Linked DNA regions of Struthio camelus. The protein of the gene in region 2 purifies or fractionates together with the protein of the main gene of each other region. This does not show direct contact. Links are inferred from orthologs where the notes say so. Each region holds a gene or a part of one and is shown on either strand. Other genes may lie near its edges.

What was found. Proteins that work in one complex are often made in the same cells at the same time.
Region 1: the proteins of EXOC7 (region 2) and EXOC8 purify together in Homo sapiens (affinity purification with mass spectrometry; 4 studies listed by BioGRID and IntAct, counting the BioPlex papers as one, with this or other methods). This does not show direct contact. The link is inferred for Struthio camelus from reciprocal best matches to the Homo sapiens genes EXOC7 and EXOC8.

What each region holds. Positions count from the first base shown.
Region 1 is NC_090944.1:91,124,690-91,132,284, reverse strand, and holds the start of EXOC8 (exocyst complex component 8), read right to left. Parts: upstream 3,005-7,595; 5' UTR 2,943-3,004; coding exon 1,428-2,942; intron 777-1,427; coding exon 168-776; 3' UTR 1-167. Other genes in the region: DNA-dependent metalloprotease SPRTN, read left to right, coding at 3,520-3,785, 5,354-5,453, 6,298-6,426, 7,315-7,582. UniProt on the Homo sapiens protein: Component of the exocyst complex involved in the docking of exocytic vesicles with fusion sites on the plasma membrane.
Region 2 is NC_090960.1:9,002,600-9,009,996, forward strand, and holds the start of EXOC7 (exocyst complex component 7), read right to left. Parts: upstream 3,007-7,397; 5' UTR 2,861-3,006; coding exon 2,801-2,860; intron 2,235-2,800; coding exon 2,169-2,234; intron 1,090-2,168; coding exon 905-1,089; intron 200-904; coding exon 94-199; intron 1-93. UniProt on the Homo sapiens protein: Component of the exocyst complex involved in the docking of exocytic vesicles with fusion sites on the plasma membrane.

The DNA.
Region 1 (7,595 bases), on a different chromosome or scaffold from region 2:
AAAGGTTTTCATCACTGCAGGTTTTGATTGCAAGTTTTCAGCTTCAGGAAGGTTGCAGTTAGACTTCCAAGTTTTTCAGGGATCCAGAAAAGATTTAGTTCATATTTAATGTACAACATTTTCTGTAAGCGCTCTCACACACTGTTCATGAGAACAGTTACTTGACTTCACACCACAGAGGTGGTACTTTCTGGATTTACACGCATCAGTCTTGAAGCATTTCTCAGATCCTGTAGCTGCTTGGCTGGCTTTCCCACTCCTTCCTCAAATCTTTTTTCCACAACAGGAAGGACAGTTTCATAAAGGAAGGATGCATTCTGCCTAATGAATGCTTTCTTCTCAGGGTCCTGTTCACACCGTAAACTGTAATCAACGTGCTGCACAGCCACGAGGATGATTTCCACCAGACTCTCCAAAAGAACCATATGCAGCTCTGGAAAGTAAAGCTTTAACGCTTCCTCCAAGAAGGCCATAGTCTGCTTAGTGAAAGCTACCACAGTATAGCTAAGGTTGACCCAGCAGTCATCACCAGTGTATTGGTCAAAATTGCCTACCCCGCAGCTTCTCATCTCCTCTCTGAGTTTTCCCAGAGCCTCTGGGGTCATTAGGTTCATCCTTCTCCACATCTCTTCAGAGTTGCGATGCTTGGTGGCCTCAATGATGATATCCTTATAGCTCTGCAAAGCACCTTTGATATCCTTTACCAGAAGGGCATGAATGATGAAGGTAAGATCCAGTCCAATCTCACTGAGCTGCTTGCAGTGCTCTTTAGCTACCTTGGGTATTAATGAAAAGTGAAGTGTGTTATCAGTTTGCATTCCCCCTTTACATTTTAAAAGTTTACCAAATTTTTCATTCTCAGAAAACCGGGAACCGTTAGTTATGTTTTACATGTTTCTCCTACCCTAAGAAACTCCTTTTTAATGGGAAATCAGTAACTGAAAGACAAACCTTGCCTGTCAAAAATGCCACAGACAACTACATTAGAAACCTTTTTTTCTTCCTATTAGCAGCTGAAAGATACCATAACCTGAGAAATTAAGGACTTCTTGAAGTCCTTGAAAAAAATTAAGGAAATATAGTCCAGTACAGGCTTGGAAAACACAAGTGTTCACAGTACTCACTGTTCAGATAAACTGTGTAAATTTAAGGATCTCCTACCAGACAAAGGCAAATTAAGAGTGAACACAGGTTTTCTCTTGCTCTGTACTTTATTAGTCTTAAATGCTTTTTTTTTTGGTTAAATTTAAAAAAAGCGCCAAACAAACACCAAATGAATGATCTTAACTCGTCAATGCAGGAAACTTTTTCAAGCAACATGCTCAAAGTCCGAGTCCACAACTGAGCTAGGGTTAGAAACGGGGGGTTACAAGCTTTCCCCCTTTTGCTTAGTCCACCATGCCACACCACCTTCCTTTCACTCTTACCTTTACACACTCTGCTGCAGTAGACAAGCTCTCTTTACTGTCGAATACCTGCTTACTGAAGGCATCTACAAACATCCTCATGGAAGAACGGGCCCACACAACGAAGGCAGAGTAGCAGCCATTGTTGCCAGCGAAGTCCGTTTCAAACTCTCTTGCTGTCTCTAGGAGGCTGGTGAAAAAGACATGGCAGAGTTTGTGGATGTAGAGCAGCGTGGCACCTTCGATGCGCAGCTGTCGGATGGCCGTATGCACAGCAGCCGCACGGTTCTTCAGGAAGAGCTCGCATGCCTTGGTGGACTGGCCCAAGCGAATGAGCTGGGATACAGCCCGGCGGGTGGCCCGTGGCCCTCCTCGCAGCGAGCGGTCCGGAGACAGCTCAAAGACCAGCACATCCGTGAGCTGCCGGACCCGCTCGTCCACCTTGGCCCGCAGCTCCTTCACAGGCTGGCTCACAGGCTTGTCCCCCAGGTACTCGTTAAGTTTATCCAAGAGGTCCACCGCCCCCTCAAAGTCCCGCTGAGCGATGCAGACGTCCAGGTCCTCAGGCAGCTCCTGGATCCACTCAAGGGAGAGGTCGACCATCTCCTCCTCGGCAGGGGGCTCCTCGTCCTCCTCGTCATCCTCCTCGAAGGGGTTAGTAGATTCGGGGGGTGTCGGGGCAGGCCGGGGCAAGGCCTCCTGCTCCAGGCGGCGCTTCTCGCTGAGGGCCCGGTTGCGCTTGGTCTCCTCCAGCACCTCCAGCCACTCCTTCTTGATCTTGGCGTTCTCGGCCTGGAAGATGCGGCTCTCAGGGAACATAAGCAGCTTGAACATGTCCTTCATGGGCGGGTTGTCCTTGACATTGACCACGGCCAGCCCGTCGAGGGGGTACAGGGCGTCATAGCGGTAGGCGCCGCGGCGGTTGGGCAGGGCCGTGGCCACGAGCAGGCAGTCGTTCATGAGGAAGGCGTGCACCCGCTGGATCTGCGCCATGTGGTCGGCGTCGTACTCCAGCAGGTCGCCGTTGTACACCAGGTACTTGCCGGGGCTCTCGGGCAGCAGGTCGCGGCAGCCCTCCACCTTCTCCAGGAGGGTGGTGAGGGTGCGCTGCCGCCCCTCCTCGCTGGCCGCCGCCTCCTTGGCCGAGAGGGGCAGGAAGGGGTCGGCGGCGGCGGCGCGGCGGGCGCCCAGGGCGGGGTCGTCGCGGTCGGCCTGGAGGAGCAGGGCCTGGGTGACGGCCTCCATGATGCCCTTCTGCTCGGTGAGGATGTGGCTGAGCTGGTACATCTCGCTCTCCAGGTAGCTGATCTCGCGCGCCGTCTCGATGAACTGCCGGTAGTTCTGGTAGACGTTGCGCTTCAGGCTCTGCGCCGTCTCCTCGCTCAGCGCCTGGATGCGCTGCCGGTGCTCCTGCAGGTCCCGGTCGCCGTCCGACTGCTGCGACAGCTGCTTCACGTACTCCGCCGCCACGAAACCGCCCGACTCCAGCTGCCGCCGCAGCCGGCTCCCGCCGCCCTCGCCCAGCGACAGCGCCATCGCTACCGCCACGGCGGCGAGGCCGCCCCGCCGCGCCGCCCCGCCACCAGCCCCGCGGCGCGGCGTCCGCCCTGCCGCCGCCGCCGCCGCCGCCGGGGAGACCGCTGCTGCGCCTGCGCACAGCGGCACGTACGCCGCCTGCGCCAGCATCGCCGCGCCGCCGCGCACGCGCGCTCGGCTCTGCTCGGCTCGGCTCGGAGCGACGCGAGGCGAGGCGCAGACGCAGGCGTAGAGCGGAAGCGCCCTCAGCCCTCGCGAGCGTGCGCACAGGGAAGGAGGAGTCGCGCGCCGGGAAGGAGGAGTCCCGCGCCGGGCCCGGCTTGTGCGCATGCGCGCAGCCGGGAGCAGCAGCGCTAGTGGGCGCGCCGTTAGGGCGAGCGCATGCGTAGTCGGAGCGGGGCGGCGGCGGCGGCGGCGGCGGCGCGTCGTTTGTGGCGCAAGGAGTGTGCGTCGGGGCTGGAGCTCTTTTGGTGTGTGCGTGCGCAGTGGCTGGGTGCCTCCTGGGCTGCGGCGGCGGCGGCGGTTGGGCGGCGGTTGAGCAGCTCGGGCGGTGACGCTGGCGTCGGTGCCGTTCAGGATGGAGGAGGAGGATGACTTCGTGCTGGCGCTGCAGCTCCAGGAGCTGTGGGAAGCGGAGGACAAGGAGGCGGCGGCGGCCGCCGCTGCGTGCCCTGAGGCCTCGTTAGACTCCTCGCTGCTTCGCCCGCTCTCGGTGGTGGACGAGGCCTGGGAGCTGCTGGACCCCAGCCCCGACGTGCACGGCCTCTTCGTGCAGTTCAACGAGGCGCTCTTCTGGGGGCGCCTGACGGCGGTGGAGGTGTCGTGGAGCCCGCGTATGACCCTGTACGGTAACGGCTGGGGGAGGCGGTTGTAGGGGTGGGGCTGTTTCGTCTGCCTGTTGGTTTTGAGGGTGGCCCTGTGTGGGGAGGAGAGCGCAGGCTCTCGGTCGCGTCCGTGTGAGTGCGCCCTGCCCCTCCTCGCTCCCGGCCCTGACGGAAAGCGGCCAGCAACGAGGCAGAGCCCTCGCTTGTGCGGGGAGCCGAAGTACTCGGGGGGCGCCCAGAAAAGGGCGCGAAGCGGCGGGGCCGGGAAGCCGGTCCTTCCTGAGCCCCTAGAGCAGCCATGGTGAAGCGCTTTCACTAGCGTCAGTTTTCCCACTGGCAGAGACTTAGGCTGTCATGAGTGAGCTGCGATGCTTTTCGTGAACAGTCCAAGCAGTTCTTAATTGCTGTGTCTGAGCCTTTGGAAAAGGTTGTGACTGATCAAGCAAACAATAATTCATCTCACGATACAGTCTTAGACTTTTGGGGAAAGGAGGAAAACCGACCTGTCGCTTGTCACTATATGCTGTTACTAACTATGTCTTAGTAGACTACACTTACCAGTTCCACAGCTTAAATTCTAGGTATTGGAGTTTCCTGTTTTTTCTAACATAGGTTGTACCTCTGCCCAGGATGTGGATCTGTCACAGTTGGTATCTATTTTGTCCTTCATTTGTAAGCTTGGGCAACCATAAATGGCTTTCTCAGTGTGCAGACAAAACTGTTATAGTGGAATAAATAAATTGGTCTTAAATTGTGTATTTGAAAACTTACTTAAACATATTTATATTGGTGAGTTTTTTTGTTGCTATTTTGAATTTCTTTTATAGTTTTACAGCATAGTAGAAAGGCAAATGTGAATAAATGCATAAGAGCATGTTAACAAGATTTAGAGTAGACTTAAAAAAAAAAAAAGATAAAAGCAGGTTGCAGTTCTGCAGCAGATCAGCTAATACAGTTGCAGGATGTTGGAGTCCCTCCCCCTCCTTGTCCTTTGCTGATTGCAGTGCTCTTTGCACATTTGGAAATATTTGAGTATATTGTGCTTACAGAAAACTAATGCAACAACAGCAAAATGTTTTCTGCTGTATTACTGTGCTGAAGTGACCATGTAAAAGTCCAGTAAGAGGCAGAACTGTGCAGCTGTGCAGGGGAGAGTGTGCAGCTGAGGGTTGAACTGCAGCAACCAGCAGCTAGGTCAGTGTTGGCTGCTGTGAAAGAGCAGCCTCTGTTTTATGTTTTTCACTCCATCTGGAGTCTGAATGAGAACGCTAATTTACCTCATGAACAAATGAGCTTGGAGCATTCTACTGTGATTTTTCAGGATTGTTAGCTTTGAATTAAGTGATTGTAAGACATCTAATAAATTACAGTTGAGCTTCTAGTAGCGCAAACAGCTTATTCTGAAGAATTTGCTTGTTTTTTGTTGGTTAATGAACTTGAGTTCTTCGAGTAGCTTCTAACAGTCTTTCATATTCTAAATTATTTAGCATGTATTGGAAGAGGCAAGCATTTTAACTCTTGATTTTCAATTTTCTTCATATATTACAGAATCAAGTAACTTATATTTTGTTTCTGCATCTCTTTCAGCTGTGCAGGAGTATGTAGCTATGAAGGAAAAGGTGGAATGTGTTCCATTCGTCTAAGTGAGCCACTTCTGAAGTTAAGACCAAGGAAGGATCTTGTTGAGGTATTTGAAGATTGTTCATTAATCTGTACATAAAATGTATTAACCCCTTCCCTGCACACACATTTTACATTTTATTATGGCGTTCTTATGAGCAGTGACTTATAGATTACAAAATAGCGGTGGCTTTATTGCTATGTTTGTGTTGCTTTTATGGGCAATTCTATAGTATTCTCAGTTGTATGTTTCTAAATGGAAAACTCTTGAATGGGAGTCTACAGTCACTTGTTTATTTTACTCACTTTATAAAGGGGGAAAAGACTTCTTTTTAGCTCCAAAGCTATCCTACGATATCAAAACCACAAATACACCCAGAAAGTTTGAGAAAATGCTTTAGTTTCGCCTTTTAGGTTAAAAGGCCATTAACAGAAAATAGGGCTATGGGTTATGACTGTGAACATACCTTTGCATTGCTTTTCGTGCCTCTGCCAGATCTGCTTATATGAGTTGCCTCAACATTTGGATTTGCTTAGTGAATGGAAGTGCTGCAGAGTTTCTGCGTTCTTCTCAAAAGTCTCTTTTGTTTGGTGGTGAGGAGGGGGTGATCTTCTTGAAGATCTGACGTTGAGTTTGGGGATTATTTCTACCTCTTTGGAGAATCAAATGTTAAAATAACATTCTTTAGCATGTTTAGGTTGTGTGGAAATAGCTGATTTGATTTGGCAGGTAGAATAAGCGTTATGTTTTTATAACCGAGATTGAACAAGTGTACGCGTGAGAGTAAGGTACCACGCAAAGAGTACCAAGATTAATGTAGAGTAGCATAAATTAAAAAGTGCTTGCAGCTTAATTTAGAAATTGTATGCAATGCCTTTCCGTAAATAGCTGATGATTAGCCTTGTTTCAGACACTGTTACATGAAATGATCCATGCCCTGCTGTTTGTTACTAATAATGACAAAGATCGTGAATCTCATGGGCCAGAGTTCCGCAAACACATGCGTCGCATTAATCGCTTAACTGGAGCCAATGTCACGGTAAGCACAATCCACTTAATGTTGTGTAATACAACTTTTTCCCTGTTTTAGTACCATGTGTTTGAATAGTCCAAATGTGGTATGATTAATACACCTGTATTTCTTAGTAGACACCAATACAAATTTACATTGGACTGCTTGCCAGTTCAGTAGTTATTTTGTTGGTGATGGTGAAGGGAACGTGTTGAGGAAGATGTGGAGGGTTGTTAGACTCATGTAATTATCATATACACCTTCTGAAAGTATTTTCCTTTCAAGTTTGTTTTAAACTTGAAGTACAGAAGTTCAGAATAATCTGTTTCAGTTAAGATTTGTCTCAATAGGAGCTAATGGGTGATTGAACATGGCATTTAAAATTCATGTCTCTGACGATCAATTAAGATGATGAAGTGAGAATTTATTTTGTTATGCTGTTATACTGCTCTTTCAGTTTGATTTTCAAAATCCTTATATTGTCTACAGTGCATTCTAAATAGCACATAACGTGAAAGTCATGAAGAGATTAAAAACAGGATGGTGGAGAGATGGAGAAGCTATTTCTCACAGTAGTGGTAGAAAAAACAATTGTCCAGGAGGGGGATAAGCTTTGGAACAATGCAAGTGCTTCTCACATTACAGACCATTTATCAGACTTCAGGTTTGTTACTATAATAAATTATGTTTATTTTGGGAGGAAGATGACACTTTGAGAAGGGCTTTTTGTAGTGTGTCAGTTTATCACCAGACGGACAATTTTTTTCCTTCCTGGCATGCAGGAGGACTTTAGCTTGTATTACAAAGGAATGGAGCACTATTACATTTTAAAGAAATGTGGAGCTAGTGATTAATCTCCTGACTTATAAAATTATACATTTTCTGAATTACTGGCTTTTTTCTTTTTTAACTTAGATTTATCATAATTTTCATGATGAAGTGGATTTATATCGCCAGCATTGGTGGCGATGCAACGGCCCCTGTCAATACAGAAAACCTTATTTTGGATATGTGAAACGTTCGATGAACAGAGCACCCTCTGCACGAGACTTTTGGTGGGTGGAGCATCAAGAGACATGTGGAGGTACATTTACAAAAGTGAAGGAACCAGAAAACTTTTCCAAGAAAGCCAAAGAGAAAACCCAGCCAGCAAAACTGTCAAATTCCAAGTCAACTGACAAAGGTATTCGACATAG
Region 2 (7,397 bases):
ACAAGCCCATCAGCCACTCACAGCAAGACAGCAAGCTGCAGGGCAATGTTTGTCCCTCTCTCACCCTTGCCAGGTTTCAGACCCAGGACCTACCACACGATTCAGCTCTGGGCTGTCCGGATTGTTGTCCTGGAAGTATTCCACCGCCTTCTGGATTTTGTCCATGCAATTCAAATATTCTTCCAGCCTCCCAGTGGGGCTGGAAAAAAAAAAGATAGAAAACAAACAAAGAGAGAACCACAGTGATCCAAGGAGTGAAGGAAGAAGATAAAGATATCAAGAAAGGACCAGACTAGACTCAGGATGAAAACATCAGGGAAAACTTCAATTCCCTTTTCTCCTACTAGGAGATCAGGGAATTCTTTTTGCCTCCACTCACAACAAAAAACCCAATTCAGACAGCAAGCGCAGAAGTACTGGTCACTCAACAGCCCACAGCTCTCACCCCTCACCCTCCTCTCCCGGCCAGACCCTAATGTGAAGGTAGATGAAGCTGCCCATCCCATCTCAGAGGAAAGGCCATCACAACACCCTACTGGAGACTGCAAGCAGGCTCCAGAACAGCTCAATTTATTCTGGATGCGGTGACAACATTGACAGGGCAGGAAGAATCTTTGGGAAAAGGGCAGAGAAAAGAAGAGAAACGACCAAAGTTCATGAACTTCATGTGGGAGCACGTGTACAAAACCTGGAAGGGACACCAGTGCAAGGTCTGAACAGGCTTTGCCCTCAGAAGACTGCTGAAGGTCTAATCAAAAAGCTTTCTGGGGGACTGGCGGAAGGGAAAGAGAGTGGGAAAGGTACAAGGAACACAAAGATGAATGCGGGGAGTCAGTTCCTACACCTCAGTCCCAAAAGATCAATGGGATGAAGCTCCCCAGTAAGGTCTAGCTGCTCAACTCACCCTTCCTTTATGATCTTCTCTGTGTCCTTAGCCACATGGTAGTAACTGATGACATGATCCAAGCAGGACAGGGTCTTCTCCACGTTCTCCTGCAGGCGCTGCAGGTTCTCTGTCTGTTTATGGACAGGGATGATAGAGTTCTCCAGCTTCATCAAACGACTTTCAAAGGAGGAGAGGATAGAAACCTATATACCAAGAGAGAAACAGAGCTGAGGACATCCTTCTACATGGATCCACACAGTAGGTTAGCAGTTAGAGTAGAGCAACCAGGGACCTTCAGGTCCCAGCTTGTCTTTCGGCTCTTCTACTAGTTTGCCATGGCTCCTTAGGCTAGCTGTTTAATCCCTCTATTTCCTAATTTCCATTAATACTTACAAAACAGATCACCTGCCATAAAAAGATGGGTCAATCTTTAATTAAATGGTATGTTATTTGAATGCTTTACAAACAAGACAGTACTAAAGAGGAACAAAATTTTATTTGAGAGTAGAAAACAGATCCACAGGAACTGCCTGGAGGTGCCTTAAGTAACAAGGACAACAAAAGCAGAACCCAGCATCCACTCTCCTACGTACCACGAAACGCAAAACTGAGATGTGCAACACAAAAGCACAGGAATGACCATTCTGACCACCTCTTGAATCACACACATTTGGTTTTTAAAAGATAGATACTATGATATCACTTCTGAAGAGTGGGAAAGCTCAGCAGACCCATAAAGAATGTGTAACTGTCATCTTTTCTAGCTAAAAATACAATTCTTTCAAGATGTGCTCCTAGGATGTATTTTCCAAACTTCTCAGACAGTGCCTCTATGACTTTCTTGAAATGCTGAGCCCAAAACTGGGCACAGAATGCTAGCTAAGGGCTCACCAGCGCTAATTAGAGCGCACTAATTACTTTCTACCTCTCACACAAAACACTCCTAAAATAAACCCCAAACAAGATCTGCCTTTATGGAGCAACAACATAATGCTGTTGCACAATCCAATCTGGGGTCTATTAATACCTCTTCCCATGAGGGAGGGCAGTCTGTAAAGAGATGAGACCAATAGCTCATTTGAGCCCAGCCCTGAAGCTCGGGACCGAAACATTCACCAACCTTCCCCGTTGAAAAACCAGGGAAACCTAAAATACTTGCAGAGCGAGCGGTGTCTTCCTCCACATACCTCAGACGTGCATACTGAGAGCCTTGGAAAGGATCCTCCTAACAGAGAGCAGTCCCAAGCCCAACATTAGGGCTGAACTTCACAGCCTTCCTTACCATGTTTTTTGTGAGTTGGTCGCTTTTCTCAAGGCTCTCTTTGATGAAAGAAAGAGTTTCTTCTTCCTGTCGTTAGCAAGGAAAAAACAGGCTTCAATTCTGAACACTGAGGATTTAGCTCATGCAAGATCAGAGCCAAACAATATTTCTGGATTTTTACAAGTCCTGTTAATCACTACAGCAAACCATGCTTGATCTGACGCTAAGGTCACATTTCAACATGCCACCTCTTAAAAGAAATCCGGATAATTAACCCATGGCGAGAGACCCATCACATCATAAACAAGATTTTTAAGGATTACGCATTTCCCTCCAACATCCCGAGTCCCAACACCTTAGCAGCACGCTTTGCTGTCAAAGCGCAACAGAAAATTAACACCTTCACCACAGAGGCACCCTGATTCAGGCGGCACGTCTCCCGGGGCGCTCTATAGGCAACAGGGGTATTCCACAGGCATCACGTTTCAGGGGCAGCCGTGAACCTGCCGCGACACAACCGCCGAGGGCTGGTTCCGAGCCACCGAGGCCCAGAGACGAGGGGGGACCAGGGCCTCTCTCCTAGGCGACGAGCAGAGACCCCCAGGCCCGGCGCCCGCGGCCAGGCCCGCAGCAGGCTCCCGGCCCAGCCCCACCTGCTTGAGCTTGCCCTCGATCTCCCTCCGGCGGGCCGACACCTCCTCGGTGGGGATCATCCTGCCGCGGGGCGCCGAGGTCACCCTCCGCCGAGAGACCCCTCGCCGGTCACCCTCTTCCGCCCCCCGTCACCCTCGCGGCGCCATCTTGGGAGCGGCAGCACGCACTGCGCATGCGCGCTCGGGCCAGCCGCCATCTAGAGAGTGGCCTCCACATAAGGGGGGCCGGAAGGACGGGAGGGGTGGGGCGCACGCGCAGTGGGGGGCAGGTCCGCTGGGTGAATTGGCGCGTGCGCACTGCCTGCCGGCCACCTTGAGAGTGGCGGGGAGGCCGGGCAGCCATATTGGGAGTGGCGTGGGGCGTTCCCAGTGCGGCTCCCCCTTTCTATGGGGAGCGGGCCTGGCTCCCAGTCCCCACCGCCCACTGCTCCCAGTTACGGCCTGGCTGAGCCCAACCTCTCCAACCCCGGTGCCTGCGACAGGGCTGTCCCGACACCCCCTTGGCGGGAGGCCTGGCGACAGCCGCCGGGGGTGGGAGCGAGGGTTGGTTCCCCCCCCCTACTCCTGCGCTGGCTTTTTGGCCCAAACCGGGCAATCAGCCCCCCCCTTTTCCTTCCTCCCGGCCGTATCGCACCCTCGTGGCTCTCACGGCCTCCCGAAGCCGGGCCGAGCCCAGGCGGGAGGTGCCGGTGCCGCGGCCCTGCAGCCCGGGCAGCGGCCCCCTCCGCCCCGGCTCGCAGGCGATTAGCGCGGCGCCGCTAACGAAGAGCCTGGGAGCCGGCCCCGGGCGGCCGCCTCGTTTGGCCGCGAGGTGACCGCCATGTCGCCGGACGAGGATGCGCGAGCGAGCCGCCGGGGACGAGCCCTCCCCGCCGGCGCCCGAGCGCGTGCGACGAGCCCCACGTCCGCCAGATGTCCTCCAGTATCAACTTTCCCCTGCCCGCCGCTCGGCTGGCGCGGAGGCGACCGGCCGCCCCGGCCCCCGCAGAGCGGGCGAGACAGGACGTATCCGGGCAAAGCCCTCCTTCCCTCCCCACCTCGCCGCCTGCTCGGCCGACGGGTCAGGCAGAAGGGCGGCCGGCGGCGGGGGGAAGCGGGCCACGGCGGCAGAAGGGCCGCGCGAGGAAGGCAGGGCGCCGGGCAGCTCGCCCGGCGTGACCCCCTCGGCGGGTCGGATCCGGGCCCCGCTGACGGGCCGTGCACGGCGGCTGCGTCCCGGGAACGCGTCCCCGCGGGGAAGGATCTGGGGAAAATCAGGCGGTGTGCCCGTTTCATTAAATTAATCGTACGCTGCTCGCGTGAAGCGCGGGACTGCCCCGCTTGGGAAGATCCTCTGAGCCTCAGGGCGTCCTGCTGCCGCGGGATTTAGCAGCCTCGTGGTGCCCGGAGGGAGAGACGAGGGATGGAGGAAGGTTACGCAGCTTTGCTCCCGGAGTAGGAGGTGAATTATAGAAACGTACAGAAAGAGGGCAGGAGTCCAGCTCCATCTACGCCGTCCTGCATGCACGCTGCAGGGAGGCAGGCTGCCGCCGCCGGAGGGCCGCGCTCTTCTCCCTCCCCAGCGGAGATGGGGACGGGTGGTTCAGCTGGCGGTGGGGCCGCGACGGGCTGGGCATCCTCCTAAACCGCCCCCAGCCTGGAGCAGGGGGGTCTTAACCGTACGGAGGGCCCCGGCCTCCCCCTCTCTTGGGGCGCCCCAAGGCAAGGGCAGCCTTGCGCGCTCCCGTTCATCTCCCCCTTGTCACCCCAGCCCCGGCTCTGGAAGGCAGCTCAAACAAGCCCGGCGAGCCCCTTTTGTTCGACGACTTCAGTGCGTTTCGTAATCCACCTTATCACGCCGCAAACAGCTGTGCGCGGCTCTGGCTGCCGCGATGGGCGACAGCAGCGCCCGAGCGCTCTGTTTTCTGTCCGTGACGTGGCCCGGCCACGACCACGGGCCCGTGTTTTACGGAGGCGCCTGCTCTAGGGGATTTGGCCCTTTGGGTGTAAGAGAGAAGACCCCAGGCCTTGCCCCGGGCAGGCGCGCTGCCTCTCGTGCTCTACCCCCCCGCCCTGGCTGCACGTCCATGCCTTTTCTGCGCGCGTGGAAAACTGCTTTTCTCATTGCTCTTCTGCGAAGGCTCACCCGCATGCACAGGGCGGCAGGAGCGGAAAGGAAACCTGCCCTTCCCGGCCCCAGGAAGGACGCGGCGCAGGTGCTCTCCTCCAGTGCCGCCTACCCCTCGGGGCTCGGAGGCTGGAGGCGCGGGGAAAGGATGGCCCCGTCGGGGAGGTGACGACTCAGCCCCGGCCGAGCGGCTTCCGGCCACGCTGAGTCGCCCTCTCCTTCCCATCCGCGGGACGGAGGGAGAGGAAAAGCCCCTTCGTCCCCCCGGCAGGAGGGATTTTCAAGGCGGGCATGCAGGCGCTCCCCGCCTGAGCTGTTCGCCGGCTGCACCTGGACCCTCTGCTCCGAAAAAGCCTCACGTTTGGGACGGCAGAGCAGGAGCCGACAGCTTCGGGGGCCGTTCGAGGTCGGGAGCAGCCCGGGGTTCAGGCAGCTTCAGGGCCCTTTTGCTCAGCCGCGCGTTTCCGCCTTGATTTGCTCACTCAGGCAAATTTTTTGACAAAGTCCTGACAAGCTCAGTTATTCAGTAGCTCTTGAAGCGAGGATTTCCTGCACCCGGCGCCGTGAGTCAGACGCTCTTCAGCCCAGGAGGAGTTGCTGTTTAAAACCGGCCGTGTGTTGCAAAAATGGATTACGGCTGCCCGCGCCGCCGGGGCGAGCGCAGCTCCCACGCCAGCCGGGCAGCCGCCGGGAGCAGCCCGCGCGGCAGCCAGGTTCCTGCAGCGCGGCGTCTCCCAACGGGCTTTGCCCCGGGTGCGGGAGAGGAGCCGGGACCACCGTGAAATTACACAACTTTCACTGCGGGCCGAAGGGCCGCCCCAGGCGGAGAGCCCCCCCCCCCCGGCCGGGCGACCGGCCGATGCTCCCGGCCGCCCCAGCTGGCAAAACCTCCAAGCGAAGAAAGGGGGGATGCGCGCTGTCCCCTCCGCTCGCGGCGGCGCGGCGGCTCGTGGGGGTCAGCCCCCAAGCGCCGGCCCCAAATCCCCGTCTGCCCCGGCAGATCCCCCCCCCCCCCGCAGACGCAAGCTGTGCTCTCCCTCCCTCCGGCTTTATTTGCGGAGGGAATTAAGGTCCCGCTGGGAAAACCTCCCCTACGCCGGGATAACTGCCTGCAGAGCCAGCTCTAAATGGCTTTTTGTAAATGAATGACCAGGATTAACGAGGTTCCCCTCCTCGCTGTTTACTCGGCGCTCCGGCGGGACGCGGAGGGGCGCCCGGGGCCAGAGACTCCCTCCGGGGTGCGGGGTGCCTCCTGCCCGGCCCCCTCGGACCTCGGGTGCCGGGGATGGACACGCGCGTCCCAGCCCTTCCTCCCCGCTTTGGGGCCGGGGCGCGAGCGGCTGCAGCTGCCGCTGATGCCCCCTCTGCCTCCCCGCCGCGCGGCTGGGGACGGCGGCTGGGGGCGTTTGCGGTGCGCGCGGGTCGGCGCCCGATGCCTGCTCGCCCGCGACGGGGAAGCCGTGCAAAGCCTGGAGATTTGCGCATTCCTGCCGGCTAACGCGTCCCATAACCGAAAGCCGCGGGAAGGGAGCATCGCCTCCTGCGGCCCCGGCTCCCCGGCGGCACCCGCCCCACGCCGGCGGTGCCGCTCGGGAAGGAAAGCGGGTCGATCCCCGGCTCACCCCGGCCCCCTCCGCAGCGACGTCTCCGCTGGGAGCCGCCTCCGCAGCCGGCCCCAAACCCGTTCCCGGCGGAGGCAGAGGCTGCTCCGGGGCTTCTCGCGGCAGGAACCGGCCCGAAACCTCACCCGGAGACCTCGGGGCGCCGAGCGGCCCCCGGACGGGCGCGCGAGCCCCCCGGACGGGCTCCCCACTCGGTGACCCCCAAGTGACACAGTGCGGCGCGGCCGGGCACCCCGGCTGGCTGGAGGGGGCGGGCGGCCGGCCTCCCTCCCGCCTCGGCCTCCCTGCGCAAACGAGCCGCCTTCGCCGGCCGGGCGCGCTGCCCGCCGAGCTGCCTGCCAGCCCTCGTTCTTGGCCATTTCTAGGTCAACGCCCGCCGCTCGTAGCACCCTGGGTCGCGGCGGCGGTGAGCCCTCGCCCTGCCGCCTGCGCCGCTCGGGAAGCCAGGATCGCTGGGATTTGGGCTCCCGGTGGCTCCCGCTCGGTCCCAAAGACTCGTAGGATCTTCGGGTCCGGGAGACCTGCGCCCACCGCGGTCCGGCTGAGAGCAGCCGCGCGGCCGAGGGTTCGAGGGAGGACAGGGAGGTGGACGAGCACGGGCGAGCACCGGGGCGGTGGGGGGCAGCTCGAGCTTTTGGGCCATAAGGCTCAGCCCCTGGAGTCCAGCACCAAAAGCGGGCGTTCACTTGGGGTTTTTCAAGCGAGTTTTCCTGGAACAAGTCACCTCGCAAACAGGCTTTTGAAAGAAATCCCCGGGCCCCGGCGCTTTGCTTGCAAGCCTGCCAAGTTTGGCACTTGGCGCGATGCAGCTGCCCGGAGGAGGAGGAGGAGGAGGAAGCAACGCCGGGACTTCTCCGGCGGCTCGGCC